Linked DNA regions of Alligator mississippiensis. The protein of the gene in region 1 interacts with the protein of each later gene in a biochemical or structural test. Links are inferred from orthologs where the notes say so. Each region holds a gene or a part of one and is shown in the gene's direction. Other genes may lie near its edges.

What was found.
Region 2: the proteins of XRCC1 (region 1) and PNKP form a complex in vitro, tested with the Homo sapiens proteins (3 studies listed by BioGRID and IntAct, with this or other methods). The link is inferred for Alligator mississippiensis from reciprocal best matches to the Homo sapiens genes XRCC1 and PNKP.
Region 3: the proteins of XRCC1 (region 1) and POLB form a complex in vitro, tested with the Homo sapiens proteins (5 studies listed by BioGRID, with this or other methods). The link is inferred for Alligator mississippiensis from reciprocal best matches to the Homo sapiens genes XRCC1 and POLB.
Region 4: the proteins of XRCC1 (region 1) and APTX form a complex in vitro, tested with the Homo sapiens proteins (2 studies listed by BioGRID). The link is inferred for Alligator mississippiensis from reciprocal best matches to the Homo sapiens genes XRCC1 and APTX.

Annotation. Positions count from the first base shown.
Region 1 is NC_081838.1:29,416,631-29,423,523, reverse strand, and holds the start of XRCC1 (DNA repair protein XRCC1), read left to right. Parts: upstream 1-3,880; 5' UTR 3,881-4,009; coding exon of another isoform or gene 4,010-4,066; 5' UTR 4,067-4,231; coding exon of another isoform or gene 4,232-4,261; 5' UTR 4,262-4,438; coding exon 4,439-4,489; intron 4,490-5,263; coding exon 5,264-5,356; intron 5,357-5,537; coding exon 5,538-5,645; intron 5,646-5,996; coding exon 5,997-6,155; intron 6,156-6,411; coding exon 6,412-6,489; intron 6,490-6,599; coding exon 6,600-6,714; intron 6,715-6,836; coding exon 6,837-6,893. Other genes in the region: phospholipase A2 inhibitor and Ly6/PLAUR domain-containing protein-like, read right to left, coding at 1-209, 502-642, 1,050-1,202, 1,496-1,615, 2,397-2,613, 4,010-4,066, 4,232-4,261. UniProt on the Homo sapiens protein: Scaffold protein involved in DNA single-strand break repair by mediating the assembly of DNA break repair protein complexes. Negatively regulates ADP-ribosyltransferase activity of PARP1 during base-excision repair in order to prevent excessive PARP1 activity.
Region 2 is NC_081828.1:39,808,178-39,815,495, reverse strand, and holds the start of PNKP (bifunctional polynucleotide phosphatase/kinase), read left to right. Parts: upstream 1-4,302; 5' UTR 4,303-4,343; coding exon 4,344-4,548; intron 4,549-4,759; coding exon 4,760-4,806; intron 4,807-5,395; coding exon 5,396-5,854; intron 5,855-5,974; coding exon 5,975-6,054; intron 6,055-6,426; coding exon 6,427-6,484; intron 6,485-6,563; coding exon 6,564-6,671; intron 6,672-7,318. Other genes in the region: TRPM4 (transient receptor potential cation channel subfamily M member 4), read left to right, coding at 209-341, 558-630, 851-947, 1,244-1,248. UniProt on the Homo sapiens protein: Plays a key role in the repair of DNA damage, functioning as part of both the non-homologous end-joining (NHEJ) and base excision repair (BER) pathways.
Region 3 is NC_081830.1:17,181,788-17,189,626, forward strand, and holds the start of POLB (DNA polymerase beta), read left to right. Parts: upstream 1-4,824; 5' UTR 4,825-4,889; coding exon 4,890-4,950; intron 4,951-5,027; coding exon 5,028-5,085; intron 5,086-5,168; coding exon 5,169-5,235; intron 5,236-5,500; coding exon 5,501-5,575; intron 5,576-6,298; coding exon 6,299-6,357; intron 6,358-6,665; coding exon 6,666-6,715; intron 6,716-7,555; coding exon 7,556-7,607; intron 7,608-7,839.
Region 4 is NC_081826.1:152,796,983-152,804,587, forward strand, and holds the start of APTX (aprataxin), read left to right. Parts: upstream 1-4,589; 5' UTR 4,590-4,674; coding exon 4,675-4,796; intron 4,797-5,357; coding exon 5,358-5,497; intron 5,498-6,780; coding exon 6,781-6,827; intron 6,828-7,463; coding exon 7,464-7,605. UniProt on the Homo sapiens protein: DNA-binding protein involved in single-strand DNA break repair, double-strand DNA break repair and base excision repair.

The DNA of each region.
Region 1 (6,893 bases):
GGCCGTAGGGGTGGGGGTGGGGGTGGGGGTGGAGGTAGGGGTAGGGGTGGGGGCGGGGGTGGAGCTGAGGTGGAGGGAGGGGGCAGGGCTGCACTCTGCCTTGCTGATGACCTCAGTGAAGACCCCGCTGACCTCATAGACACCGACAGCGCTGACGCAGGCACTACGGGTGGCGCAGCCCCCCAAGGCATAGCTGTAGTTGTAGCTGCCTGGAAGGGAGACACAGGAGGGGTTGGGGGGGGCCAAGGGGACCCCAGTCCCAGGATTGGGGCCCTGGAAGACCCCTTATACTTTCTCCCCTGCCCCCCCCAGCAGCATATTGGCAAGCAAAGGGTTAATGCCCCCAAATCCCCCCAAAAGAGGGGATCTCCCCCCCATCCCCCAAGACAGGAGGTGGGGGTTGGGGGATGGACACCTGGGTTCTCTGGGAGGGGAGTGAGGCCTGGGGAGGATCGCTGTGGGGGTGGGGGGAGCTGGGAGCCTGGACTCCTGGCTTCTCACCGACGTGGATGGCACCAGCTACGTAGAGGCACTGGTCCTCGTGGTCCCGGCATGGGACCCTCTCCTTGGGCTTGCAGGCAGGGCCTTCAACAGCACAGCCTGGGCACCAGCGCCCGGTCAGGACCCCGGGGGCCAGCGGCACTGGAACGGACGGACAGGCGGGGTCAGGAGGGCTCAGGGTAGGGGTCGCCTGGCTTCTCTCCAGCTCTGGGAGTTAAGTGGGGTCGCGGGGGCGGGGGGGGGAATCAGTGCTGGGAGCCCAGATGCCTGGGTTCTGGGAGGGGCATGTGGGTTGTGGGGTGAGAGTGTGGGGTGGCAACGAGTACCCCAGACACCTGGGTCCTCCTCAGCTCTGCATGGGGGGCTGAAAGCAGGGGGTGCTGGGATCCCAGACACTTGGGTCTCCCGTCAGCTCCTGGATGGGAGTGGGGCTGGGGGGTGAGCAGGGGGGGTCTGGGAGCCCGAACACCTGGGGTCTGGGGGGATTCAGGGGCTGGATCCCAGATGCCTGAGTTCCCCGCTGGCTCCAGAGAACGGGGGGTCCATACATTTCACGGCGCCCCGGTTGCAGCCATCATGGGAGCAGCACACGGAGCCCCCCCGCAGGCGCACGCCGGCACCGGCACTGAGCGTGGACGAGCGCGGGGGGCAGAGTGTCCTCGCTGTGCAGCCCTTGAAGGTGTCCACCTTCCCCGGCGTCCCTGGGTGGGCACAGACAGGAGGGACTCGGCATTGCCCTGTCCCCAAACCCCCCCACCCAGGCATCACGGAGTTAAAACCGGCATGAAAATATATACAGTGCCTGGTGTGGCCGGATCCTGGGGGGAAGCGGTATCGACATCACCCAGATCCCCCTGGAACCCCCGGACCACCCTGATCTCTGCCTGGGGGGTCTGTACAGTGCACAAAGCACCCCGATCCTGGCTTGGGGGGGTCCAGACAGCCCCCACCCGCCAATCCCAGCCTGGGGAGCCCCAATCCTGGCCCAACTCACCCCCAATGTGGGTCTCCGAGGTCAGGGTGAAGCAGGCATCCTGGAGGGGAGCACAAGGCACCAGGGGCCCCGTGCATGTGAGGCCAGTGCCGTTGCAGCGATGGCAGCTCAGGGGGGAGCCTGAGGGGGCAGCAAGGGGTGAAAGTGGGGGCCCGGGAGCCCAGACTCCTGGGTTCTCTGGGAGGGGACTAGGGACTAGGGGTGAGAGAGAAGGGGGGGCCCGGACGCCTGGATTCTTCAAGAGGAGAGTGGAGGCTTGGGGGCGAGAGCGGGGGTCTGGCTGCCCGGATGCCTGGGCCCTCTCCAGCTCTCAGGGGGGCGGTGGGGGGGGAGTCAGGGCTTTGAGAGTGCCCAGACACCGGTGTTCTCCAGAAGGGGAGCAGGGTGCTTTGGGGCAGGGGTCCCCGGGAACCCGGGCACCTGGGTTCCCTCCCAGGCAGTGGGTGGAGGTCTCACCTGCACCCAGCAGGGCAGCAAGCAGCCCGAGTGCCAGGGGGGACAGCATGATGGCACTGGGGGCCCCAAGCTGCCCAGAGGCACTTATAGCCCCTGGAGCAGGGGGGTGGATCCGGGAAGCATCCGGGTGCAGGGCAGGAGCTGGTGACCCCCCACCCCCGCTGGAGCCCAGCCAGGTGCAGAGGTTGGCAGCCGGGACGCCTGGGTTCTCTGCCCGGTCCGGGGCGAGCGGGGAGGTGCGGGCTGGCTGGGGGCCCACGCACCTGCCAGGCTTGGCCATGTGTGCAGCTATTCAGGAGAGAACCCAGGTGTCCTGGCTGCCGGCCTGACGCACACCCCGCCCCAGAGGTGGGGGGAACCCAGGCTACTGGGATCCCAGCTCCACTGCCGTGCAAGAGCTGGAAGGAACCCAGGCGTCCGGGATCCCAGCTCCCCCTGCTCCCACCTGTTAGGCTTCCGAGCTGGAAGGAACACAGGCACGGAGCTCCCAGCCGCCCCTGCTCTCCTCCCACTCCACCCAAGAGCTGGAAGGAAGCCTTGCTCCGGGATCCTAGCTCCCCCGATCTCCTCTGCAGGCTCCGGAGGTGGGGGGAACCCAGGCTTCCAGGGTCCCTGCTCCCCGCCTCCACGGCAGGGCCAGTACCCTGGGGGGCCCCAATCCCCTAGGTTGCGCAGGGGGGTTTTGGGCTGGGAGCCCAGACACTTGGGTTCTCTCCGGAGGGGGGACAGAGCGGAGGGGTCAGAGCCAGGGGACCCGCTGGTGCACCCAGAGGTGAAGCTGGGGAGGGGGCAGGAGGAGGCGTGCAGGGGCTAATGGGTTCGGAGCCCAGACACCTGGGTTCTGGGGGCGGGGGGGGGGGGTGGAATGAGGTCAAGGGGAGTTAGGAGCACAGATACTTGGGTACTTGGGGGAGTGAGGTCAAGGGGAGTTAGGAGTGCAGATGCCTGGGTTATGGAGGGGAGTGAGGTCGAGGGGAGTTAGGAGTGTGGACACTTGGGTTCTCGGGGGGAGTGGAGTCGAGGGGAGTTAGGAGCGTGGACGCCTGGGTTCTTGGGGGAGAGTGAGGTCAAGGGGGGTTAGGAGCACGGACGCCTGGGTTCTCGGGGGGAGTGGAGTCGAGGGGAGTTAGGAGCGTGGATGCCTGAGTTCTCGGGGAGTGAGGTCGAGGGGAGTTAGGAGTGCAGACGCCTGGGTACTCGGGTGGGGAGTGGAGTCGAGAGCAGTTAGGAGCGTGGATACGTGGTTTTTCAGGGAAGGGAGTGAGGTCGAGGAGAGTTAGGAGTGCAGACGCCTGGGTTCTCTGGGGGAAAGTGGGGTGGAGGGGAGTTAGGAGCGCTGCCGCCTGGGTACTCGGGAGGGGAGTGAGGTCAAGGGAAGTTAGGAGCACGGACGCCTGGGTTCTCGGGGGGGGGAGTGGGGTCGAGGGGAGTTAGGAGTGCGGACACCTGGGTACTCAGGGGGAGTGGAGTCGAGAGAAGATAAGAGCCCAAGCACCTGGGTTCTCGGGGGGGGGAGTGGGGTCAAGGGGAGTTAGGAGCGTGGACGTCTGGGTTCTCGGGGGGAGGAGTGGGGTCGAGGGGAGGGGAGTGGGGTCGAGGGGAGTTAGGAGTGCGGACGCCTAGGTTCTCGCGGGGGAGTGGGGTCGAGGGGAGTTAGGAGCGCCTCCACCTCGGTACTGTGGGGGGAAGTGGGCTGGAGGGGAGTTAGGAGCCCGGACACCTGGGGTCATGGGGGTGGTGGGGTCGAGGGGAGTTAGGAGAGCCGACACCTGGGTACTCGGGGAGGGGGTGAGGTCTAGGGGAGTTAGGAGCCCGGATGCCTGGGTACTCGGGGGGTGGGGGAGTGAGGCCTAGAGGTGAGAGCAGCGGGGGCTGGGAGCCAGGACTCCTGGGTCCCCTCCAGTTGTGGCGGGGGAGTCATTGGTTGCTTGTGAACATCTGTACACTCAAGCTAGGACCGCAGCGCCGGCTGCACGATGACGTCACGGTCCCCCGGCCCCGCTCATGACGTCAGGCACGTGTGATGACGTAACGCCATGGGGCCGCTGTCAGGTCTACTCTGACGTAGCGGGGCGTCGAGATGGCATCACAGGCAGGCGGAGGGACGAGCGCGGCCTTTAGGGAGGGGGCGGGGGAGCAGTGACATCACTTCATACCCTAAAGACGTCACCCAGCAGTGCGCGTGCGCATGCGCAGTAGCTGCACCTGCTAAGAGGCATGCGCAGTGTCGAGGCGGGACAAGTGGCGCCCGCGGGAAAGGCCTTGCGCATGCGGACGGACCGCTGGAGGAACTGGCGGAGCTTGGTTCATGCGCACGGGCCCGGAATCGGTCGCCGCGTCTGCGCAGAGCGCGACGAAGGACCCGGGCAACCATAGAGTTCCCAAAAGAGGCCCCGTAGCGGGCTTCGCTTCCGGGCTGGGCCGGAGTTTTGGTTCCGGGGCGGGAGGCGGAGGCGCCGACGGGACGGGACGGGACGGGACGGGACGATGCCGGAGATCGCGGTGCGGCACGTGGTGTCCGCCAGCAGCGCCGACCCGGTGCGGGGGAGAGGGGAAGTCCGGGGGGGAGAGGCCATTCTAGGGGAGCGTGGGGGTGGGAGGGACCATTTTTGCATGCTGAGGGAGTGTGGGTGAGACCATTCCAGGGGGTACTGGGTGAGGCCATTCTTGGTGGGGGAGGGAATCTGGAAGGGACCATTCAGGGGTGCTGCAGGGGGGTGTGACTTGGGAGAGATCATTTGCGGGGAACTGGAAGGGACCATTCTAGAGGGCTGTTGGGGATTGCTGGGGGACGGGGATAATTGGAAGAGACCATTCCGGGAGGGACCTTCGGGGGGGGGGGGCAGTGGTAGAGACCATTATGGCATGGGAGCTGGGGGGATGCTAAGAGGGGTGAGAGATCATTGAGGGGGATTGGAGGCAGCCGTGTCAGGGGAGGGGGCGTGTAGTGGCCATGGATGAAACCATTCTAGGGCAGTGGGATCTGGAGAAGACCACTGGGGGGTGGCAGGGACTATTTTAGGTGTTTTTGGAGCGGATCATTTGAAGTGGGGGGTGCTGGAAGAAACCCTGGTGAGGGGAGATACTTTTTGGAGGAAGGGGGAGCTTGGGAGGGGCCATTCTAAGGGAATGTGGAGAAACCATGCTGGTGGGATTTTGAAGGGAGTGGGAGGGACCATTGTGGGAGTCATGGGGGGAGGTCATGCTTGAAGCACATAGAGTGGGAGAATTTATTTTGAGTTGTAACATGTGGGGGGCGGGGGTGGGACTTGGGGTCGTGCCCATCATACTTACCCCCCACTTACGCCCCAGACCCACTGCGCTGAGAACCTGCTCCGACCCGACACCTACCGCAAGTGGAAAGCGGCACAGCCCGGAGAGAAGCAGATCTCGGTCATTCTGCAAGTGAGGACCCCCCAGCCCTGGGTTCCCTCTGGCTCTGGGAGGGGACGCCGGGGGGGTGAAGCGGGGAGTGCTGGGAGCTTGGACACCTGGGTTCTCCAGGGGGGGAACAGTGCAGGCAGCGACAGCCATCCCCTCCATCCCGGTAACCAAACCGTCTCCCCTTCGCCCCACCACCGGGCAGTTTGAGAAGGAGGAGCAGATCCATGGCATTGACATCGGGAATGAGGGCTCGGCCTTCGTGGAGGTGCTAGTTGGCAGCTCGGCCTCCCCCAGCGAGCAGGACTATGAGGTGAGCCCCCCTCCAGCTCCCCACATGAGAAAAGGGAATTGGGCAGGCACTGGGCACCTAAGGAACGGCGGCTGGCTGGGAGTTGTAGTCCTCGCTGGGATTGCAGTTCACCTTGTTTTCTAATGTGGGGGGGAGCCTGTCTTGGTCACCCCCCCCCCCATCACAAGCCTTTTCACCCTATAGGAACTGGACTGGAAGAAGGGGTTCAGATCTTGTTTCCTCCCCATGAGCCTCATTTCCCCACCTTTTTCAATAGCATAAAGGGAGAGCTGCTCCCCCCCCCCCCCCCCCAGCACACACACTTAGGTGCTGGATGGGAGGGGCTTGTGGCTGACTACACCCCCCCCCCAGGTGCTCCTGGTGACCTCGTCCTTCATGTCCCCGAGCGAGAGCCGCAGCGGGTCCAACCTGCACCGTGTGCGGCTCTTTGGGCCTGACAAGCTGGTGCGGGCAGCGGCCGAGCGGCGCTGGGACCGGGTCAAGATCATTTGCAGCCAGCCCTACAGCAAGGTGGGCCCTGCTCCAACTGGCTGGCTCCATCCCCCAACCCGGCCGGTGCCTCTCACTCCTAACCCGCAGCCCCCTGCCCTGACCCAGCCCTGCCAGTGCCCCTCACTACCGACCCGCAGCCCCCACCTGCTCCTCTGTCAGGACGCCTGGGTCCCATCCTTCCTGGAGGAAGCAGGGTGGGGCTGGGAACCCAGACGCCTGGCTTCTTTCCTGATGGCTTGTTTTCTCCCTCTGCCCCCATCCCTCGCAACCCCAGACCCTGGCATACGGCCTGTCCTTTGTGAGGTTCCACTCGCCACCGGACAAGGACAGCCAATCGAAAGTGGCCTCCCCGGTGAGTGACAGCCTCTTGGCCCCACCCTAGCCCTGCTGGTGCCCCTCACTCCTGACTTGCAGCTCTCTGCCCTGCCAGCGTCCCTCACTCCCAACCCACACCCCTTGCAGAAGCTGACCAAATTTGGCCAGTTCAAGGTGAAGGACGAGGATGGCATCTCCGGGTCCCTTAGGCCAGGGGCCTTGTTCTTCAGCCGTGCCAGCAAGGCCCCACCCCCTGACAGCGGTAGGTACCAGGGGAGGGGTTCTGGGACCCCAGATGCCTGGGTTCTCTCCAGCTCTGGGAAGGGTGCAGGGGCTGTGGGGTGAGAGAAGAGGGTTCCAAGCACCTGGGTTCTCTCTCCACAGCCCCCCAAGCCGAAGCCCCTGGACCCAGCTATGCTGCAGCCACACTCCAGGCCAGTG
Region 2 (7,318 bases), on another chromosome or scaffold:
CCACCCTCACGTGAACTTGCAGCACCCCCCAACTCCCTGCTCCATCCCCACCCCACGCCCCGGGAAGTCCCAGGCTTTTTAAACTAGGCCCAACTGTAAGTTACTTTCAGCCCCTTTCCCCATGTTAGCTCCCATGCCCTGCCTGCATGGTTCTTACGTGTGTGCATGGTCCCTCTCCCCCTGGCCCGGATGCCTGGGTCCCTGGCAGCGCTGGAGCTATCTGAGGAGCAGGATGGGCAGCTGCTTACATGGGAGGCGGTGCAGAAGGAGAACCACCTGGTAGCACTGAGGCGCCAGAAACGTGAGAGTGACACCGAGCGCCTGAAACGCACCTCCCAGAAGTGAGGCGGGGCATTGGGGAGGGGGGCTAGGGAATGGCTGCGGGGAAAGAGGGGTGCAGGGGGGAACCCTAGGCAAGGGGAGACATAGAGAAAGTGGAGGGGGTGGGAAAAGAACAGGGGGTCACTGATGGAGCCTGGGATGGGGTGCAGCAGAAGCTCTGAGGTAGAGGGGCTGGGGGGACCCCTGAGTGACCCCCATTCCCTCCCCCTACACAGGATGGACCAGGCCTTGAAACAGCTGGCTGAGATCCGGGAGTCAGAGCGACACCTCAAATCCCTGGAGAACCAGGTACCCGGGTGGCAGGGGGTGGGGGCTGAAGGACCCCATCTTGGGGGGGGGGGGAGGTTGAGGAGGCAGGAGAGGGGGCTCTCTATGTCAGGGTCTCAGGGGAGAGGGTGCCGGAGGCAGTGGGGGGAGGAGGGTTGGGGGTATAAGGGGCAGAGGGAGGGAGTGAAGTAGGCTTGGGGGCACTGAAGCTCTGCCCCCCCGACCCACCCAACCCCCCCAGATGGAGTACTGTACGCAGGCTCTCTCCTGGGTGGTAGATGCCCTGGCTCAGAGTGACCTAGGGAAGAAGCACCAAGACCCTCCCATGCTCAGAAAGGGTAAGTGACCCCATCCTCCCTGGGCTCCTAGCCCCCCGCCCCCCCACCCCCCGCAGGATGTCCCCTACTCCCCAGTCTCCATCTCCCTCCCCCTTGGATGCAGGCTGCCCCCTCAACCCTGGGACAGGGTCCCCCCATAAGCAACCACCCTACTCCCACCCCAAGAACCAGGCCCCTCGGGGGGTGGGGCAAAAATGAAGGGGTTAATTGGCTCCTTCATATATTAGTGTCCCCCCCCAAGCTGCAATGTGACCACCTCCTGCCTGTCCTAATTCTGTCTGTCTCCCCCCAACCAGAATGACCCACTCCCCCAACTCTGCCTGGACCAGTGAGAAGATGGGAGAAATGAGAACCCAGGTGACCAGGCACCTGGGACCTGCTGGAATCCAGGACAACCTCTGTAACCTCACTGTGAACCCAGGTGTCTGGGTGCTGTGCACTTTCTGAGGGGCTGGAGTTGGAACACCCCCCCCCCCCCCCCCAATCATTGCACTGGGAAGCCAGGAGTCCAGCTACCAGAGACTTTCCCTGTGGGGCTGGCATCCAGGATCCCCACCCCTGTAGACCCAGGTGACTGGGTGCCAAAGGACCTTTCAGAAGGGAGAAGCAGAGGAAGGAGGGAAGTTGGGGTATCCTGCCCCCAGCACTGCCCTCCATCCACTCTGGCAGGAGCCTCAGGATCTTGAATGACTTGAATTCTTTGATTAAATAAATATTGATTGTTGCACACCATGAGAACCAGGCCTGGGGGGCAGGGGCTGGGTGAAGTGGGACCCCCCCCCATGCCAGGATCCTGTGCTGGGAACCTCTGATACCCTGCCACTAGCACCCCTCACCTTGAGAGGCCTAGCAGAAGGGTGCCCTGTGTGCAGGAACCCAGGACTCTGAGCTAGCCTGGGGGCATGAGAAGGCCCCTACAGCGTCCACTTTGCCTCCAACCAAAATCCTCATGTGGTTCTCCCTAGGCTCCAGAGCAGCTGTACACCCCCATGGTCCCCCCAAGGACCCCCTAGACTTTCCCCTGGCCTCAGGGTGCCCTGCTTTGGGGTATCTTCTTCACCTACCACTGCCCCTCCCTGCCTGTGGCACCTACCACTCTGCCTCTCCCTCCCTGGACCCTCTCCCCCATGCTGGTGTGTGCCTAGGGACCCTTTTATAATGAGATGACTGGCTCTGTGGAAGTGGAGAGGGCAGTGGATGTGATACACCTTGACTTCAGCAAGGCTTTTGGTATGGTCCCCCTCAACATTCTCACAGGCAAGCTAAGGAAGTATGGGTTGGTTGGATGAATGGACTGTAGGGTGGATAGAAAACTGTCTGGATCATCAGGCTCAGAGCCTAGTAATCACTGGCTCAATAACTATTTGGAACCTGGCATCAAGTGGAGTGCCCCAGGGGTCAGTCCTGGGGCCAGTTTTGTTCAGTGTCTTCATCAATGACCTGGAAAATGGCATAGAATACACCCTCAGCAAGTTTGCAGATGACAGCAAGCAAGCTGGGGGGAGCAGTAGATACACTGGAGAGTAGGGTTTAGATTTAGAGAAATCTTGACAACTTGGAGGACTGGACCAAAAGAAATCTCATGAGGTTCAATTAGGACAAGTGCAAAGTTCTGCACTTGTACCAGGGCATTGTTCTGTCCTAAGTAGGCAACCAACTGGCTAAGCAGCAGTTTTGCAGAAAAGGAGCTGGGAGTTACAGTGGACAAACTGAGTACGAGTCAACAGTGTTGCAAAGAAGGCTAACAGCATATTGGGCTGCATGAGTAAGAGTGTTGCCAGCAGACTGAATGAAATGATTATTCCCTTCTATTAGGCACTGGTGAGGTACTGTGTCCATTTGTGGGTTCCCCACTACAGAAAGATGTGGACAAATTAGAGAGAGTCCAGTGGAGGGCAACGAAAATGGTTCAGGGGCTGTGGCACATGACTTCTGAGGCTGAGGCAACTGGGCTTATTTAGTCTGGAGAAGAAAAGACGGAGGGGGGGATTTAATAGCAGTCTTCAGCTACCTGAAGAGTGGTTCCAAAGAGAATGGAGCTAGACCGTTCTCAGTCGTCACAGAACAAGGAGCAATGCTCTCAAGTTGCAGCAAGGGAAATTTAGGTTAGATATCAGTAAAACACTGGAACAGGTTGTCTAGAGAGGTTGTAGAATCTCCATCCCTAGTGTAGTTTTTAAGACCCGGCCAGACAAAACTTTGGCTGGGATTTTTTTAAAATATAATTCTATATATACATAGAGTTATATATATACATCCTCTAGCATAAACTTTCTATCACACCTTTAAATCACTTTAAGAAACCATGCACCTGTTGGAATAGATGATCTCCTTAGGTCCCTTATTTTCTATGATTCGGTGACCCCTTCCTCTATTGCAAGGCCCCCTGTCTCCTCCCCAGGCAAACTCTCATGGGCAATCCCATTCTCTGGTTCCCTCAGCCCTTCTCCCATACACCAAGGGCTCTGGGGGCCTCATAGCCACCCCTTACTGAATCTCTCGGCTCTCCAGTGACTTTGGCAGCGCCCTCTGGGCACAACCCATAATTGGCTGAGCCCACAGCTCTACTATCCCCAGCCTGGGCCACAGCACCACCTCTCCATGCTGTCCTGGGCTGCACCAGAGGGTCCCCCAATCCTGGGCAGCACTCACTGGGCACTTGGGATGTGGCAGGTAAGGGACCAGGTACCAGGGCACAGCACTGAGTCATGCAGCGGGACTGACGCCAGCAATGCCCCCCCCCACCAAGCAGAGGGCCGTGTGCCCCACAGACCTCCCCCACCCCGCTAGAGGCTCTGGGCGTCGCCCCCTCCTCCGCCCCTACGAACCAAAATGTCCCGGAACCCTCGGCGCCTGGTCCTGCGCGCGCGCCGGCCGGAAGTGGTTGTGGCACCCGCACCGGAAGTGCCGGCGCTGCAGCGGCGGGAACCTCCGAGGGAGAGAAGCTGCCGCCGCCGCTCCTCCCCACTCCCGGTTACGGACACAGGGGCCACTTCCGTGGTGGTGGGGGGGGGACTGCAATAGGTGTGACACTCCCCGCCCACCACACCCCGGCCGTGGGGGCAGCTGAGGTCCCTCCTCCTAGGGCCCCCCTGCAGCCCCCCCAGGGGCGGATCAGGTCCCCCAGGGTGAAACTGCCTTGTGGCACTAGGGGCTGGGGCCAACTGGGGGGAGGGGGCTTCCCCAGGGATTCACGGTGCTAAGGTGGGGATAGGGGTGATGAGGAGGAGGAGGGGCAGAGCCATGGTGGGTCTGACTTTTTGGGGGGGGCGGGAAACAATGGGGGAGGGGATGGGGATGATGGGGGGGGTCGGCGGTGGGGGAGGGGTTTGGGACAGCGGGGAGGAGCAAGGGAATGGGGCTGGCTGTTTTGGGGTGGGGCAGGAGGTGGGGCTGATGGAGAGGCAGGGGGAGATGGGACTGGAGGTGCCATCCCTCACCTCCTGCCCAGTGCCTCTCCTTCCACCTGCAGCCATGGCTTGCCACCTTGTGAGCCAGGACGGGAAGCACGACCCCGTGCCCCTGCCCAACGGCATTGCCGTGGTGCTGGGCCGTGGCCCCGAGACCCGTGTGGCCGACAAGAAGTGCTCCCGGAAGCAAGGTGAGCCGGGCCCCCCCTCCCCCCAACGATTCCCTCTACTCTCCATGCACTGTGTGTAACTTCCCCCAACCCAGGTACAGCCCTCCCAAACCTGCTTGCTCCCCCATCCCAGACCATCTTGTCTGGGGAGTGGCAGGGGGGCTAGGGTGTCTGGATTTGGCAGCATGGGGGTTGCTTGTTCTGATTCCCTCCTTGCTGTTTTCTTTTGCAGTGGAGCTGCTGGCTGACTACAAACAGCAGGCAGTGAGAGTCACTCAGGTAAAGGGTGAAGTCAGGCACAGGGGCCAAGAGGCAGGTTTGTAGAGGAGTTGTTTGTACAGGGACCCCATGCCTGACACTGAGATGCAGCTGGTTCCAGGGTGGAGTGTGTCTGGGACTACTTATGCAGAGTTCTCTTTCCTGGTGCTGAGATGCAGCTGGCTCTGGGTTGGGGCACATCAGGGATCTCTTACCCAGTACTGAGATGTACTTGCCTTTGGGGTAGAACATGTTAGGGCCTGGTTATACAGAGCGCCCTCTCCTGGTTTTGGGATGCGGCTGCCTTTGGAGTGAGCACCTTGAAAGCTGGTGCATCTTGCTTGGCACTAAGATGCAGCCATTTCTTGGATTGGGGCACGTGGTGGGCTATTTATACAGGGACCTTTCATTTGGTACTGAGCTGCAGCTGCCTCTGGGGTGGGGGCACCTTGAGGGATGGTTATTCAGTTATCCCTTGCTCAGTGCTGAATTGCAGGTCCCTCTGAGGTGGAACAAGTTGTGGGCTACTTATGTGGCCACCCCTCCCCTTGGGCTAAGATGCAGCCACCTCTTGGGTGGTCTCCCCTAATGCACCCCCCCTTTGTTGCAGCTGGGTGTAAATCCCACCTCAGTGGACAACCAGGAGCTGGGGCAGGGCAAGAGCGCCACCCTGAGGGAGGGGCAGACACTATGGCTGGTAAACCGCAGCTACCCCCATGGCCTGCGCTTCCTGGCCCTGGCCCACTCCCCCCACAAGACCCTGCTGGACTTCTTCAGCTCCAAGCGCCAGCCCCAGCTAGAGGGGGACAAAGATGAGGATGAGGAGCATCCCCACAAGAGACTGAAGGCTCCCAGCCCCTCTGAGGAGGATGAGGAGGAGGATGATATTGTAGCCACCAAACTGCATCAGCTGCAGGACACAGCTGCCCAGGCCCAGGGAGCAAAGAGTGGGGCTGCCCCCCAACCCTTGGGGGGGTCCTGGAGCCTGCCCCCCCACCCCCAGGACTCCTGGGAGCAACACAGCAAGCTGCTGGTATTCACTAAGGAGGGTGTCATGCCCAGCACCAAGGTACTCTCTGGTGGAAAGGGACAGGACACCTCTGGGAGCTGAGGGATTGGGGTTGTGGGGAGAGTGGTGAACTTCTCTGCTCCTCCCCAACTCCAGGCCCTTGATTCCCTGTCTCTGCAGGTTGCTGGGTTTGACCTGGATGGAACCATCATCACCACTCAGTCAGGAAAGGTTTTCCCTACCAGTCCGGACGACTGGAGGTAAGGACGGGTTGGGAGTGAGGGGCACCATGAAGCTGGGGGGGGGGGGGGGGGGGGAGTTGAGGGCTGGGACTGCAGTAGGGGACCCCAACAGAGCTGGGGGAAACCCAGGAGTGGGCTGGCTGGGGGCAGGTGTGGGGAGCATTAACAGGGTTTTGTGGGGCAGGAAGTCAGGGGCAGAGTGGGAGACGTTGACAGGGTTGTGTAGAATGAGATGGAGAAGGAACTTAGGAGTTCTGGGGAAGAGCTAGGCACTGGCAGGGCTGTGGGCAGGGGGCTGTGGGTCAGGAGCGAGGGACCCCAGCAGTTTCCAGCGTGTGAGGTCTTGGGATAACTCCTGTCTCTTCCCTCCCCCTCTCTCCACCCCCCAAGGATCCTGTACCCTGAGGTCCCCCAGAAGCTGAAGCAACTGCAGAGAGAAGGGTATAAGGTATTCCCCCCCACCTTGGCCCCTCCCCCCATTCCCTCCCCCAGCCTCTCCACTGACCCCCACATTACTGTCTCCCCAGATCATCATCTTCACCAACCAGCTGGGGATCAGCCGAGGCCGCCTGCGCCCCGAAGTCTTCAAGGCCAAAGCGGAGGCAGTGGTGGAGCAGCTGGGGCTGCCCATACAGGTGAGCAGGGCTGGGGTTGGAACCTGGGATGTGGGGGGTTGGGGGGCTAGGGGGTTGGACCCTGTCTAGCTCCTGCCCCCCTAGTGCTCAAAGATGCCCCCAGTGCTGTGTGTAGTCCCTGATGGCCAGCTCAGATTTATAGATTCTAAGGCTGGAAGGGACCTCGGAAGATCATCGGGTCCAGCCCCCCTGCACCAAGCAGGACAGATGACTGGGGGTCAGGTGACCCCAGCAAGGTGACCATCCAGTCTCCTCTTGAAAATTTCCAGGGTAGATGATTGCACCACCTCTGACGGGAGATTATTACACAGTCTGGACACCCTGACTGTGAAGAAGTTTTTCCTAATGTTGAGCCTGAATCGGTCTTCCAGGAGCTTGTGGCCATTACTTCTAGTTTTCCCCTTGGTTGCCTTGGTGAACAGTTGCTCACCAAGCCCTAGATGTATTCTGCTAGTGTAGCAGTAAGCTGCTATCAGGTTCCCTTTCAGCCTTCTTTTCTTCAGGGTGAAGAGTCCCAGATCCCTCAGCCTTTCCTTGTATGGCTTGCCATGTAATACCCTGATCATACAGATGTCTCCTCTTTGGCTTCTCTCAAGCTTGTCCATGTCTGTTGAAGTGTGGTACCCAGAACTGGACACAGTACTCCA
Region 3 (7,839 bases), on another chromosome or scaffold:
CTTGTAGATCTTCCAGTCTGACCCCCTGCCTGGAGTTTTACAGCAAGGAGCCCAGTCTTGCCTCCAGGACCCAAAGGGTTTCTTGCAGTATTTACTGAACAGCAACAGGTTCTTCTTTTCTCATCCCTCCAAGAGAAATCCAACGCAGATTGTGTTGCTAACACCAACCTCAAGAGCACCTGCCAGGCACCATGGGCAACGTAGTGTCCCATATGACCCGTCACGGCACCAGAAGAGCTGCCGCAGCTCTCCAGGACCACCCGGGTGCCTGGGCCAGCAGCAGGAGGCGGGTTCCAGGTACACTGGACCCAGCAGCAGACAGACAAACAGCTGCACAAGGCTGCTGAGGATCAGAGTCGGACCAATCAGCACACAGAAGAGGGCACACACCCACCATGCCCTGGCAGCCAATCAGAATGTGAACAAGGAAAAGGAGCACCTTGGCCCACCTCCTCCAGCAGAGGCCAATCAGAGCAAAGATGGGTGGAATGGCCCTGACCCCGCCCATGCGGCCAGTCCACCCAATCACCTCACGCCTCAAATTGACCAATGGAAACGCGAGACTGCGATCCAGGCCCTGCTGCGATCCATGTTCGTGAATCGTGTGTCTGCCCTGAGCAGCGCGATCCCTGTCCGGTCCCAGCTCCATGGCTCTGAGCCACTTTCTCTCTCTCTCTCCGCCCTCGTCTCCTGGCCCCAAGGTCCTGTCTGTGCCACAGGACGGCAGCACTGGGCAGGTTCTTATTTCTCTGGCAGCATTTCCTGGCTACCCTGCCCAGTGCAAAGCTCAGGATTGTGGCACTGGCCGGGTTTTGCCAGGATCTCCAGGCCCCAAAGCCCGGTGAGAACCATGCCTAGGCAGCACTGAGCTATTTCCCTTATCTGCCCTTCTCTCCTGGCTGCAATGCACAGGGTGAGGCACTGGAGGGCAGCACTGAGGGTTTTTTAATACTACATGTATGCATAAGGTGCCACTTGCATATCTATTAACTGCACATATTAATATATACTAGATGCCCAGTGCAGCGTTGCTTGCATGAAAATCCAATGAGCCAATTTTTGCTTGAGATCATATTTTATTGCACTTCAACAGCTTCACAACACTTCCGCATACATAAAATCCTCAAACATATGACACTTCCTTACTGTAAGAGATTTACAACACTTCTGTACACACAACATTCCTGGTTTGTTACTCGAGTCAGCAGTCACTTCAAATCGAATGATTTCTGGGTGGGAGATTCTGGAAGCAGCCACATATAGTTGTCCATGAGTGAAGACAAGATCCAGAAGGAACACTCCTACTCTTTTTAATGTTTGCCCTAAGGCTTTATTGATGGTCATGCTGAATGCCACCTGCACAGGGAACTGTAGACGTGTCCACATGAATGGAAAGGTGTCGTCAGACAGCTTCAGTGCTACCCGAGGAATTAGTACTGTTCTTTCTGATCCAACAATTTTTGCCTCATGTAGTCTGCTGTTGATGATGGATTGCACCAACAGCCACGTTCCACTGCACAGACCTTAGGGGCAAGGTTTCGCAGAAGCATGATGAGCATCCCAGGCTTAAGGTGGAGCTGATGTGGAGGCAAACCTGACACCTCCATGGAATTCAGGTACTCAGTTGGCACAGCCATAACACGTTCATCCTCTGAAAGAGCACCTGCGCTTATACAAATCCATTCTTGGCCTGGAAATTTTGCCCCAGTAGCACTGATGATCTCCTGTACAATGGAATAATGCGGTGCCAAAATAGCTCTTTCAGATGTCCATCCTGGATTTTGATAGTTATCCAATAGATTTGGAAATGTCCATTCTATCTTTGCTGAGCGTATTTTGCACTTCGTGCATCAAAACCTTCCTTACATAGTTGCATGTTCTCACCAAGTTGGAAAACCTGGAAGTGGCTCCACAACTCAGATCACTTGAAGCATGCCTCTACTATTTGTAGCCTTGAGGCATTTTTCACAACAGGCAGGATTTGCTGAATATCATCCCCAAACACTATATCACCTTGCCACTAAAAGGTAAATTGGTCTGCAGTAAATCTCACAGCATCCGATCTAGTCTCCAGCATGTACCGATGAGCCATTGGTGCTTCATCACAGATGATGATAGGTGCTTCTCGAATCAGCTCAGCAAAGTCAGACTGGGCTGATATGCTGCAGGTGCTGGTTTTCAACACGTTCAGGGGTACCCTGAACCTTCGGTGCACAGTCCTGCCTCCCGTAAGCACGGTAGCAGCAATTCCACTGGATGCCACAGCCGATGCAATCTTCCCTTCCCAGTGCACTGCTGAAACAATCGTGTAGAAGCAGAATGTTTTTCCTGTACCACCAGGTGCATCAACAAATGCACAAAGTGGCTTTTGATTCTTCACTGCTTTCAAGATTGCACCTACCATTTGTCACTAAGCTGGAAGCATACATGGCAGTGAATCTTGAGCAATTTGGCGTTGCTCCTGCCGGTTATAGTACGGCTCCTCAGCTAATGCATTTGACATACATTTGCAGGGCTATGCCCTGCTATTATGTTCAGTACCGTAACAGCCTGAAGGGTAACGCTGCATGCAAGCCTAGCTGGCAGGCAGCGCCTCACCTACACAAACACATCAGTGAACTCGGTTCTCTCACCCAACTCCCTCTCCGAACAATTTCATCTATCGCAGTGAGGCTTCTTACTTACTAGGGCTGTGCGAGGATTTGGACAGAGCTTCGGATCCAGAAAACTTCGGATGCTTCGGGGTCGGAATCAGCACATCCAGGTCGAAGCGCTGGCCTCCTTAGGCTTCCCAAAGCGGTTTGGAACTACCGAAGAGCTTCAGAGCCGCCTCGGAGATCTGGCCGTAGGGTATAATGGGGAAACAATAAAATATAATTTTGTTGGGTTTTGTCCGATTTGGATGAGATTTTCCTGGGTGGTAGACTCCGCAGAGAGGATGAAGCCTGCCGAGTTTCAAGATCAGTGTAGGGGTTTGGCAGTAACAGCACCCCAAATTCTTGAAAACAAAACTCATGTCACATGTAGGCGTTACAACATAGCGGGGTGAAAACTGCAGGGGTGGTAGCTCTTACTGAGGCCACAAAGCTTGCCAAGTTTCAAGAACGGTGCAGGGGTTTGGGGGGGAACTGTCACCCCGCTGTGCCTTAATACACGCAGTGTCACCCGTGGCACGAGTTTTGCTTGTCGGCAGCTTGAGGTGCACTTCCCCCCAAACCCCTGCACCAATCTCCTTGAAACTTGGCCGGCTTTGTGGCCTCAGTAAGAGCTACCAGCCCTGCAGTTTTCACCCCCCTGTGGTGTGACATACAGTCGCGACATGAGTTTGGCTTTCAAGAATTTGGGGTACAGTTCCCCTCAAACCGCTGCACCGATATTCTTGAAACTTGGCAGGTTTCACGCTCTCATCAGAGGCTACCATCCCTGCAAGTTTCATCCAGATTGGACAAGAAACAACAAAGTTATAGATATTTCACTGATTCCTCATTATACCCTATGGCCGGATCTCCGAGGCAGCTCCAAAATTTCAGAGCCGCTTTGGCTGGATCGAGGCGGAAACCCAGTCCAGCACTCCAGATTGGATCACGGCCATCTGAAGCAGCCGGATCGGATCACTGCCGACTCGTACAGCCCTAATACTTACTAACGGAGACGGCACGCAGTCGACGTAACATTATAGATTGAGACCCAACTGTAGTGATATTTGAATACCTAAAGCGCTGTTATTTTAGAGAGAGAACGAGACTGCAGTTGGACCACTGTTTATTCTGGCAGGTAGTGTGTTCTACGCACACCCCGTTATTAGATGCATACCTGCGCAGTTTCAAATTCGTCGAGGCCTGTATACAAAGAATAACACTGTCACATCAACCTCTACTCTGAACAGTTTCCTATTTTACAACAAGGACCCCCAGCTCTCCCCTAGAACCGAACTGAAGTGACGTCTTGCAGTGCTTCCCGAACAGCGGGGGAGGCTTTCCTTGTAAAAAAGGGAAATTCCGTTCAAATGTGGGTAGCAAGGCACCGGATAGGCAGATTCGAGCAAAGGACCCGCTCTCCCGTCCCTGGCCCGCACCCTGCCAGCCGAATGGGGCTGCTGGGCATCGGAGTCGGACCAATCGCCACACAAGAGGATCCCAACAGCCAATCAGACTGCGGAGCAGCGGGACTGTCTCCTGGACCCCCCCCCCCCGGCAAGTCACAGCGAGGACTAGCGGCATGGCCCTGACCACGCCCACGCAGCCCTCCCCGCCAATCGTCACGCGCCTCCTGGCAGCCAATCGAAACGCGCGCTTGGCATCCCGGCTCTCGGGTCAACCCGATACGCTTCATTAGATTAGACCAGCCCCGGGAGTTGGCGAAACTCTTCCGTGCGAGTTTTGGGGCGCTCTTCCTGCGCATCTGCGGCTGCCCCCACAAAAGCTTGCAAGGCACGTCCCCCCACCCGCCCAAAAAGCACTCAGGCGGTCGAATAAAGGATGCCACACGTACCCGCAGACACCTGTGCGCACACATCCTCGCCACACACGTCCCTGCATCGCTCCTCAGGGGAAGTGCGGCACTGCCCCTTCACCCCCACCCCCCAACTGCTCTGCAGCAAGGACGACAAGCTCCCCTAGAACCGCACCTTTCTCATGTCTTTTTCTTTTGAAACAAAGAGACACCTCAGTTTTTACAAGCAAACGGCCCCGGCACACGGCGGTTGGAGCGCCGTTTGCCCACATGCTGCGCATGTCCCTCAAGGATGGGGCGCATTCGCACTGCTCCCCGGCGCGGGTTCTACTGAGCATGCGCCTGCCGCCGCGCATGCGTAGAGCGAGGCAGGAGGCTCGGCGGAGTGCGCAGGTGCGCGCCGGGCGCTCCGCGCGGACCGGGCTGCGGCCGGGGCCATGAGCAAGCGCAAGGCGCCGCGGGAGGGGCCCAACGAGGGCATCACCGACTTCCTCACCGGTGCGCGGGGCGGGGCAGGGTCGGGTGGGAGGGCGCGGGGCCGGGCGGCGCCGTGACGGTGCCGCTCGGTCCCGCAGAGCTGGCCAACTACGAGCGCAACGTGAGCCGCGCCGTGCACAAGTACAACGCGTACCGGTGAGTGCGGCCGGGCCGGGCTGGACCGGGGTGGGGTGGGCTGCGGGGGCCGGGCCGCTCCCCAGCAATCTGCTTCCCTGCAGGAAGGCGGCCTCCGCCATCGCCAAGTACCCCAGCAAGATCCGCAGTGGCGCCGAGGCCAAGAAACTGGTAGGTGTCTGCGCCCTGGGGCGGCCGCCCCACCTGCCGTGCTCGCGCGCTGCACAAAGACCCATACCTGCGCGTGCCCCTCGCCTGTGCTGCGCTCTTTGGTGCCTCTTCGCTCCAGGCGCGCTGCAGCGGCTGATGGTCATATCGCAACTCCCGCTGCCTGGCACCGCTGGGAGGCTTTGACGCCTGCCGGACCCTTCTGTCGCCCGCCACCACTAAAATCAAAACAGGCCTTCTTTCCTTCCCCCTGCCCCTTGCTTTGCAGGAAGGAGTCGGGGCCAAAATAGCGGAGAAGATAGATGAGTTTTTAGCCACTGGAAAGCTACGCAAGCTGGAAAAGGTCAGCCCTTTTGGTTTATTCTGTCTGACGCTTATTTTCTCTCCTCCGCCCCTGGAGAGAACGAGACTAGGAAGGGAATGGGTAAAAAGAGCAGGCAGAGAGAACCTAGCGTCCCTGGGACCACCATGGGGTGTGATCAGCTTTTACTGCCACCAAATGCGTGAGGCATTTGTCTGACGTAGACGCTTCCTGCGATACCTTTGTCACCCTAGTCCTGAGATGAAATGAACCAGGCAACTGCTTTGTTCCAGACTTGGGCTGTCCCAAATCTTCCAGTGCACTTAAAACCTAATTCCATCTATCCATGTATGTAGTAATGCACATTATGAAGCCTGAGAGTTTGCCAAATAATAAAATATTATAAGGCTAAGTATTTTGCCAGTACAGGGCACAGCAAAAATTAACAACCTATTGCCCTTCTTCCCCTGTACCAAACTAAAACTGTTGTCAGATTTTCCATCTCTAGCTAAGGCTTTACACAGTCCCCCAATTTTTGATAAATTCATTGTCAAGCCCAAGAAGGAAGTATATTCTGACATAAGGGCTCTCCCCTCTGAACACTGTGTTGAGGTCCCTTCCATGTAGATCTGAGTGAACTGCAGCACGCTTGTAGGTAATGTTGTCTTTTTGCTCTGAACTGTAACAAACCTTGAGTGCAGTAACTTGCTGAGGTACCTTGGCTTACCATGGCCTTGCAAGTGAATGAGAAATATCTGTCTGTAGATCCGACAAGATGACACAAGCTCTTCTATCAATTTCCTGACCCGAGTTAGTGGCATTGGGTAAGGATTTTTTCCTTGTGTACTTCTTTCTGTATGTTTTATGGAACTGACCTACCCATATGAAATGGTTCATATCCAGGATATCCTTTTCCCATGAGTTTCTTAGCTAGCATAGGTAAAATGTTAACTCCTAGAGAGCCACCTGCTTTTGGAAGCACAGCATTGCAGACAGGCATTATGTGCCAAAATCTGACTGAGGGGTGGTTTCGATACTGGCTTGGGCGGACACAGAGGCAAACAGCAAGCTCAGGCATGCTGCATCAGTCTCGCATATGCTGTGTGTGCTTTGCTGTCCTCTCTCTCTTCAGTCCTGCGGCTGCCAGGAAGTTTGTGGATGAAGGAATTAAGACACTAGAAGGTGAGTCTGTACTACGCATCTCCCTGATTGCGTGGTAGATACTTTGGAAAGACCTGCAATTTATGATGTGAACAACCTGCCCTCTGCAGAGTGATAAGTGATAGCAACAGCGTGGCTAGAGAGAGACATTCGGATGCTTAAGTCGGTACATAGAAGATGCGCTCTGCATATGTAGTATCAAGGGGGAGATAATACATTCGTGCAGGGGGTCACGCTAGGTGGTCCAAGAGGTCCCTTCCAGCCCCAACAATTCTGTGAAGTTTTCCAAGCAATGCACCCAGGCCTGAAATCTTGTTTGAGAGGCCAGGGCAGTGCATGTACCAACCAACCTGCTTCAGGAACCAGGTAAGTCTGAGACCAGTCAGGCAGACAGGTGACTTGAGCACCCCTTTTGCTTCAGCAAGTGCAGCGCAGGGTGTGGTAATGCAAAGATGGGTCAGGGTGCCTTAGGAAGTGCCTTACTTAAGGCTGATGGCTTAAGCTGCTGACATTTAGCAGCTTTGTACTTGCCAGGATGTGTTGTTTTGAGGAGTAGAGCTGTGTCCCCAATCCATGCCCTTGCAGGGAAGAGGGGTATTTCAGGGCACATAAGAGCGAAGGAGCTCTGAGCCAGGAGAGAACTGTCTCTGAAGCTAGCTTCGTGCTTCCCTCCATGTACTGCTGCTGGGGGTGAGGGGGCTGCCATGGCTTGTTAACACAATGCAGAATCTTATCCTTTACGTCGCTCTCTAAAGCTGCTATTCTTTAAACAATCTCTAAATGAACCTCCCTTACCATGCAGCTTTCTGTTTCCTCAAGTACTTTCCTTTGCAAGTGATCTTTGTGTCCGGCTTCTTCTAGATCTAAGGAAAAATGAACACAAGCTGAACCATCATCAGCGAATTGGGCTAAAGTAAGCATCATTTCTTGGACATAGTTGCTTGCCTTCCATATACACATCCCAAGGCCAGTTTCTTCTTTTAAGCAGCAGTGGCTATCTACCACAAAAATCCCCAGTTCCTGCCTCTTCCCAGCTTTAATTTGTGTTGTATGCAAAGGATAGCAAGGGCAACTTCTAAGGAGCATGAGACCAGCCGAGGGAATCCTGCAGTCATTAGTCTGCCACTGTCTATACCGTTGCGGGG
Region 4 (7,605 bases), on another chromosome or scaffold:
GGGATGGCAGCTAAGGCAGTATCACAGATAATGGCATCCTTTGCATAGAGTTCTTTTAATGCTCAGTCCATTGGTCAAGCTGTTCTTGCTTGTCAGTCAGGATAGGACCATCTTTCACTTTCAGGTTTGCAGTCTTTTTACAAGTTGGACCAAGTGCCTGTTTAATTCCATCATAGGTACCACAAAGGTCCCCTCTTTCAAAGCAGATCTGAATCTTTTTGCACAGATCTGTTACCTCACCCATCTGCCCAGCAGATGGCAGTAAAGAATTGCTGAAGCTCAACCAACCCAGCATGGCATAGGCAACACACAACTTCAACTTAACTAAAATCTAACTTTTAATTAATATATGAAATATTATATTGGTAATTTATATATATAGAGAGAAAAACATTTAGATCAATGGTTTCACCCAATCCAAGATGTTCCCCACCACAGGTCTTATAGGCAATCAGCAGTCCTGAAAGTAGAGGGTGGTTGTCTAGGTGGTCTTCTGTCTGGCATGGTCCAGATGTTGTTGGATAGACAATTACACACACTTATTTATGTGTTGCCCCTTTTTATGCTTTTTATTTAACTCCACTCCTCTGAGATGCTTCATTCCCAGGTACCATTGATTGGTTTCCTTGTGGTCATCATACAGTCCACATTCTATCCTGTCAGCATATTCCTTTGTTCCAACACACCCATCACATCTTAATTTGGTCTTTGGTCTTAATGTGGGCATGTCCCTGGCCTCCTAATTTGGTCCATCCATGAAAACCGGAAATCCCAAGGGCTCTGCAGTCGGGCAGTGTCCAGTTGGTCCCCTCTTATTATCTTTCATTAACATATCCCATCCCTCTGATTCAGTTGACTAGTGCCAAGTTCAGTTGATTTAAGCTAGTAACAAAGCCCACATCCTACACACCTATGTTGATCACACTAGAATACAAGCTACCTTCTCATACTGATAGTCAAGAACATAACCTGGAAGTGAGCCCAAGGCTACAGCTGACAATACAGATATAGAATGTAAAAAGAAAAGTTCAAATAATACTGTAATTCACAACTCAAGCAGGTCCAACAAAGGCTAAATATAACAAAGCTACCCTAACAGATTTTGCAAATGCTTCTGGGCACATTCTCTGGTGGCTTTCTGGACTGCAGCCTTAGTCTCTTTGAATTTGAGATTTCTGGACTTAGTTGGTTGTTGAAGTAGAGTTAGGCAAGCTTGCTTTTTCTTTTCTATGACTGGGAGCAGCAGATGTTCAGACACTGCTCCCAGTCAGGGTTTTTTTCTTTGTTGTCCCAAAGATATCCTTGGTAGTAGCCAGTGTCTTGTTCTTGAAATTTTCACACAAGGTGTCAGAATCAGGGGAATCAAGTTGATCATTTTAAGAAACATGCTCAAGCATACATTGAAATTTTACATGCGTCACAGTCCTTCATGTTAGCGATGTTGAGGCAAGGTTTGCCTACAAAAATCACGGACACTGAAAAGGTCTTGTACCTGTTTTCAGAGTTAGTGGGTAGTCATGGCTCTTACAAAGTGGTTAGCTAGAAGAAAAAAATCAAAATATAAGTGCAGATGAAAAACCAATTGCTCATTACTGCACTGATTGACAAATTATTGTATTAATAGAAAAAGCATTGTAGATCTGTTTTCATTACTGAAGTAATGGCTTATCAAAAACAGGGAAGAGTGTAATCTTCCAGGCCCCTTGCTAGTGCTTACACCCTCTGACGTCTTCTCTGTTCGGTAGACTGGTGCATAATACCTTGATGTTGAAATTAGTAGGGGAGGCTACATGGAGGGCAAGGGATGCATTTGGAAGAGATGGTACCTGTCTAGTCCAAGACTCCCACCTTGGCCTCTCATGCAGAAAGGAGGGCTGGGGTAGGGGAGGGACACCATGGTCACCTGTGCCCATGCCTGCTCACCTGCGCACCCCTGGGCTGTGTGCCCCATGGCCTTTGCACCGGGTGAAGGCGGGGTGGCCCTCCCTGCCCTGCCTGGCTGAGCTTCCCATCCACTGGCCTTCCCCCCACAACACACAGGGAGGTAGGAAGCAGTTCAGGACTTTATTGAGTGCCCAGCAGGCTCAATGCCTTTTTTTTGCCCTAGTCTTCACAGGCAAGGTCAGCTCCCAGACTACTACACTGGGCAGCACTTTGGGGAGAAGGTGAGCAGCTCTCAGTGATGAAAGACCAGGTCAGGGACTATTTAGAAAAGCTGGATGTGTACTAGTCAATGGGTCCAGATTCAAAGCATCCAAGGGCGCTAAGGGAGTTGGCTGATGTGACCACAGAGCTGCTGGGCATTATCTTTGAAAACCCGTGGTGATCGGGGGAGGTCATGGATGACTGGAAAAGAGCAAATATAGTGCCCATCTTTAAGAAAAGGAAGATGAAGGATCCAGGGAACTGCAGACCAGACAGCCTTATCTCAGTCCCCAGAAAAATCATGGAACAAGTTGCCAAGAAATATATTTTTAAACACTTGGAGGAGAAGGTGATCAGGAACAATCAGCATGGGTTCACCAAGGGCAAGTCATGCCTGACCAATCTGATTGCCTTCTCTGATGAGATAACTGGCTCTGTGGATTTGGGGAAAGCAGTGGACGTGATATACCTTGACTTTAGCAATATGGTTCTCCACAGAATTCTTGCAAGTAAGCTGAGGAAGTGTGGGTTGGATGAATGGACTGTAAGGTGGAGAGAAGGCTGAATTGTCCAGCTCAATGGGTAGTGGTCAGTGACTTGATGTCTAGTTGGCAGCCGGTATCAAGTGGAGTGTGCCAGGGGTTGGTCCTAGGGTGGGATTTGTTCAATATCTTCATTAACTATCTGGAAGATGGGATGGGGCGCACCTTTAGCAAGTTCGCAGATGTTAGCAAGCTAGCGGGGGGGGGGGGGGGGTAGCAGATACACTGGAGGGTAGGGCTTTATCTGGGCCATTCAGAGTTACCTAGACAAATTAGAGAATTGGGCCAAAAGAAATCTCATGAGGTTCAATAAGAACAAGGACAAAGTCCTTCACTTAAGACAGAACCCCATGCAGCTACAGGCTTGGGACCAACTGGCTAAGCAGCAGCTCTGCCGCAAAAGACCCGAGGGTTACAGTGGACAATAAGCTGGATATGAGTCAACAATGCCCCCGTTGCCATGAAGGCTAACAGTATGCTGGGCTACATGGGTAGGAGTGGTGCCAGCAGAATGAGGGAAGTAATTATTCCACTGTTCTGAGCTAATGAGGCTACATCTGGAGTACTGTGTCCAGTTCTGGGTCCTCCACTATAGAAGAAAGGATGTGGACAAGTTGGAGAGAGTCCATCAGAGGGCAACAAAAATGGTTTGGGGGTTGGAGCACATGACTTTTGAGGAGCAGCTGAGGGACTGGGTTTAGGGTACAGACTGAGAGGGGATTTGATAGCAGCCTGTAACCACCTGAAGGGCAGTTACAGGGAGGATGGAGCTAGACTGTTTTCTAGGCGCGTTTGTGGGGTGATACGGAGAAGACAGCTCTGCTAAGGACGTGTTGACTTCAGAACAGACATTTCATCTGTCAGTCCCGACTGGGCAGCTTTTCTTTTGTTGAAGAACGTGCGATTTCAGGCTTTTTCTGGGCCACAAAAGTGGAAGTAGCTGGGAGTGCTGGCATCGCCATTACCGGAAGGCCATGGTCCGGCTCTGGCTGCGTTGCCCACGTTAAGGAGGAGGGTTAGGAACCGGGACGCTTCCGCTGTGCAACAGGGCCAGGGCCGGGGCCTGCGCCCGAGGAGCCCCTAGCACCAGCGTGCCCTGGAGCAGCGGACGCCAGACATCTCCCTCGCCCCCCCACACACACCGCCCCCTGCAGGGCGGGGCGGGGAAGGCGCATGACAGCGCAAGCGCGGCAGGAAGCCCCGCTCTCCCAGCAATGACGTTTGTGGGCGGGGTTGCTCAATGTCGCCGGTATCGTACGGGTCACCTATTGGCCGCGACGCAGTGGGCGGGACGGGGCGTGTTTGGGTGTTACGTAGGTGAGTGAGCGGCGTCTCGCGCTGTTGTCCCCCGCGCCGGCGCGGCGCGGCGCGGCGTGGTGGGGTGGGGTGGCCCCGGGCCGGGAGGCGAGCTGGGGACACCGTGTGGGCGGGTCCTCGTGCCTGCCTGGGCCGCCCCGGGCAGCTGGAGCCGGGCGCTTTGCGACGCCGGGAGGGAAGGGGGAGGCCCGGCCGGCGGCCCTCAGCGCCCCCCCCCATGACAGCGCGGCGGCAGCTGGGCCGGTGTCGCGCTGCCTGGAGCCGAGGGCGGGCGGGGTGAGCAGGGGCCGATCCAGAGTTTGGCAAGGGGAGGTGCTGGAGGCCCAGACCGCGCTGCAGGGCCGGCTCCAGCCCCGGCCCCTTAAGATCAGGGGTTGGCAAGTTTCTAACTCCAGCCGGGTGCTGCTTGTGATCCAGCTGCTGCTGGGGGCTGCCCTCTCTGGGGCGGTTCCCCTTTGCTTTCTTCCCCTGCCGCGGGGCACCAACAGAGGCAGTGTGGGGGCTGCATCCCAGTGGTCCTGGTCATCAGCCTCATGCCCCCTCACCTCTGCTGCGGAAGGAGGTATCAGCTCTGCCAGTAGTCTCTGGGTCTAGGGACCCTCTGGCACCTCCCCCCCCTCCCTCTGCCCTGCAGCTGCCTTCATGAATCCCCACCCCGACCTGCCACTGAATGCCATCATCTGTGCCATTTGGCAGTGGTACATTCTGTGCAACTGAGCCAGTTGCAGTGACGGGGGGCATAAGGATATCTCCTGCAGCAACAGCACCTTCCTCCCCCACCCAGCCTTTGGTGTAGGTAACATTCACTTATTTAAAGTGGAGAAAATTGCACCGAAGGGAAGCCCTTTGCTCAGTGTGGACAAACCCTAACAAGACTGTGTTGGCACTTACAGGATTGTCCATGGTGGTAAATCCACAAATGGCGGGTATCAAATGTGCATAGTAAATTCTAGTGCTTTATTACTCATTGGGGATATTCCTGTTTCAAAACTTATGCCTTTTGGTGTATAAATGTATATTTTAATATAAATCTACTTGGTGTGTGTTAAAAGTACATTCCACACTAGCACCTTTTTGCTTGGAAGGTGATAAGGTACAACACAAACATTAAGCAGGCCTTGAAATATCTCTGTGGTATAGGTTGCTGTTGTCCCTGTTTTATGGGTGGGGAAACTGTTACAGCAATATTAAATGAAGCAGCCAAGATGCCACAATTTACTAGTGGCTTGGTAAAAGAACTAAGAATGGCTGGCATCTGATCCTGCCCTCTGGCCCCTGCATCACAATTGCTGTCTGAATGCAACACACTGTATGCAAGTATAACGATATGTTCTCTCTCTCTGTTGTGTTCAGCAGTGCAATAATGCTTGTGTGTTGGCTGGTGAGGAGAGATAAATGCTGCCCAAGAATCAAGCTGCCTCACTTAAAAACAGTAGTGATAGGGCGCGGCCCGGAGACGGAGATAACAGACAAAAAATGTTCACGGCAGCAGGGTAAGTTAGAGCTGCAGTGTATTTGTAACTGCTACTTTGATGGTGACCTAGTAGTCCCAGAAATATTGACATGCCTACGAGACCCTGAGGTGCAGATGTAGGTTTCCGATCTGGTTTCTTGTCATTGTAGAATAAATCTAAGCCTATTACCATAAGCCAAAGGGTCATCTCTCTCCTTTCTGAACATAGTGTTGCCTATCTCATGCATCCATCATCCTTGTAGGACCCTAGATAATCTCCTATAACCTGACCAGCAGGAAGGGAAGCAGCCTCCCTGCAACCAGAAGGGAAAGAAATTGACCTTGATGACAGCTGTGTATATGATCTATATGGTTTAATAGATTTGATGAAGGGTATGGAGGGACTTTAGAGTGTGACATTCTTTCCAGGTTCTTGTGAACATGTTTTATCTTTATAAGTTGTTCATGTTCTAGAGATGCCTATAAGTGCTTTTTATTAATTGAAATTAACAAGCTACGCATGTTCTGTGGAAGGGATATCATTCTTCATTAAATTCTGTGGGCTTCTTTAAAAGATTCTATTCCTTGATATTGTATCCTCTATTAGAGCTATAAAATACCAGGTGATGCTGTCTGCAAACTTGTTTCTCTGTATATTCTACATTTTTTTAAAACAGGTTTAGCTTTTGGATAATGAATAATTCACATAAGAATGGATGTCCAGGATGACTTCAGTCAATTTTCTCATCTTGAAGTTCAGCAGTCAGTAGTGTTATTGTGAAGTAATTTTGTTGGTATGACTCAGAAAATCATACTTTTCTTATTTTAAAAAACAAAAAACCCCAATACTGTGAGTTTATTTCTGGTGTGTTACTGAATATCCAACTAATAAGTTCAGATATTGCCATCATATTTATTTAGACTTCTGTTTTGAATGGGGACAGAAATTTTAGCAACAGACTCGTATATAGATATTTTCAGACCCAGCTTTGTTATCCAGAATTTTTGAAAAATATGTCACTCTCTAAAGGAGAATCTTATATCCCAGCTGAATGCAAATTATTTTATGCCTATCAGGGTTTCTCGGTAGATGTGTTGGCCCTTGTTGAAAATTAACTGAAGCAAAATGTATAGGATTTGACTGAATCAGACCCTTTAGCAGGAAGTATGCATCTGCTTATACCTATTAAGCTGAAGTAACAACAGAACTTGCATCATGAAATGTGTGGCCTAGATCAGATGCTCTGTAAAAACTGGCTTCAGCAGTACTCAAAGAAGAGGGTCTGGCCACTAGGTTTCTGATGCTTTTTTTTTTCTTTCTAGTACAGCTAAAAGCAGACTGTAATAAAGGCTATGTCTGGATCAAACAGGTATGCTGTCCCATGGAAGTGGAGTGTTGTTTATTGGGTGTTATCATTGTGTTTACACTTTACAAATCGCAGCTGGTGATGTAGCCCTGTCACAGACCTTGTGATCTACTCTGTGCATAATGTGTTCTGGTTGGTAGGCTTATGCTGTAGCACTCCTTTTGTGTCCTGTAGAGGTAGGGAACTTTCATTCTGTTCCTCGCATTGGATAATATCCTTTAAATGAGTCAGGTCTACTTAAGACTGTTGTTGCTCCTTGCTTCTGCTGCTTGCAGCTTTAGACTGGGAGAGTAGATCTTTACTAGCTAAGCAATATTTTAACGAATACATATGTTTGAATGTGGACAGAGCTTAACACTTTTACAACATCTTAACAAGTTAAAGGCAATGTGAGGCCTCCCCTCTGGGGTTAGCTGACATTATTAAAACACCCTATTTCCTTTGTATAGACAAACCTTCTGTATGTCCACACATCAATCAAAGGCACTAGCCTTAAATCCACTAGCAGAGGAAATACTACTTTATTTCTTCTTTGCATTCTAAGGACAGTGATATTCTGGGGATGATAGGTTCTGATGAATTTAGAGTGCTAAACTATTTAAGTCAATTCCAGCACTCTGTTTGCTTTCTTCTCCAAAGATTGGTGTGAATCCAGCCAGCATTGATTTAGTGAATATTGGCAAAGATGAAGAAGTGAAAATGAAGCCGGGGCAGGTTCTGCATATTGTGAATAAACTTTACCCCTGTACTATACAATTCTTGGAAGAAGCAGGAGATCCTG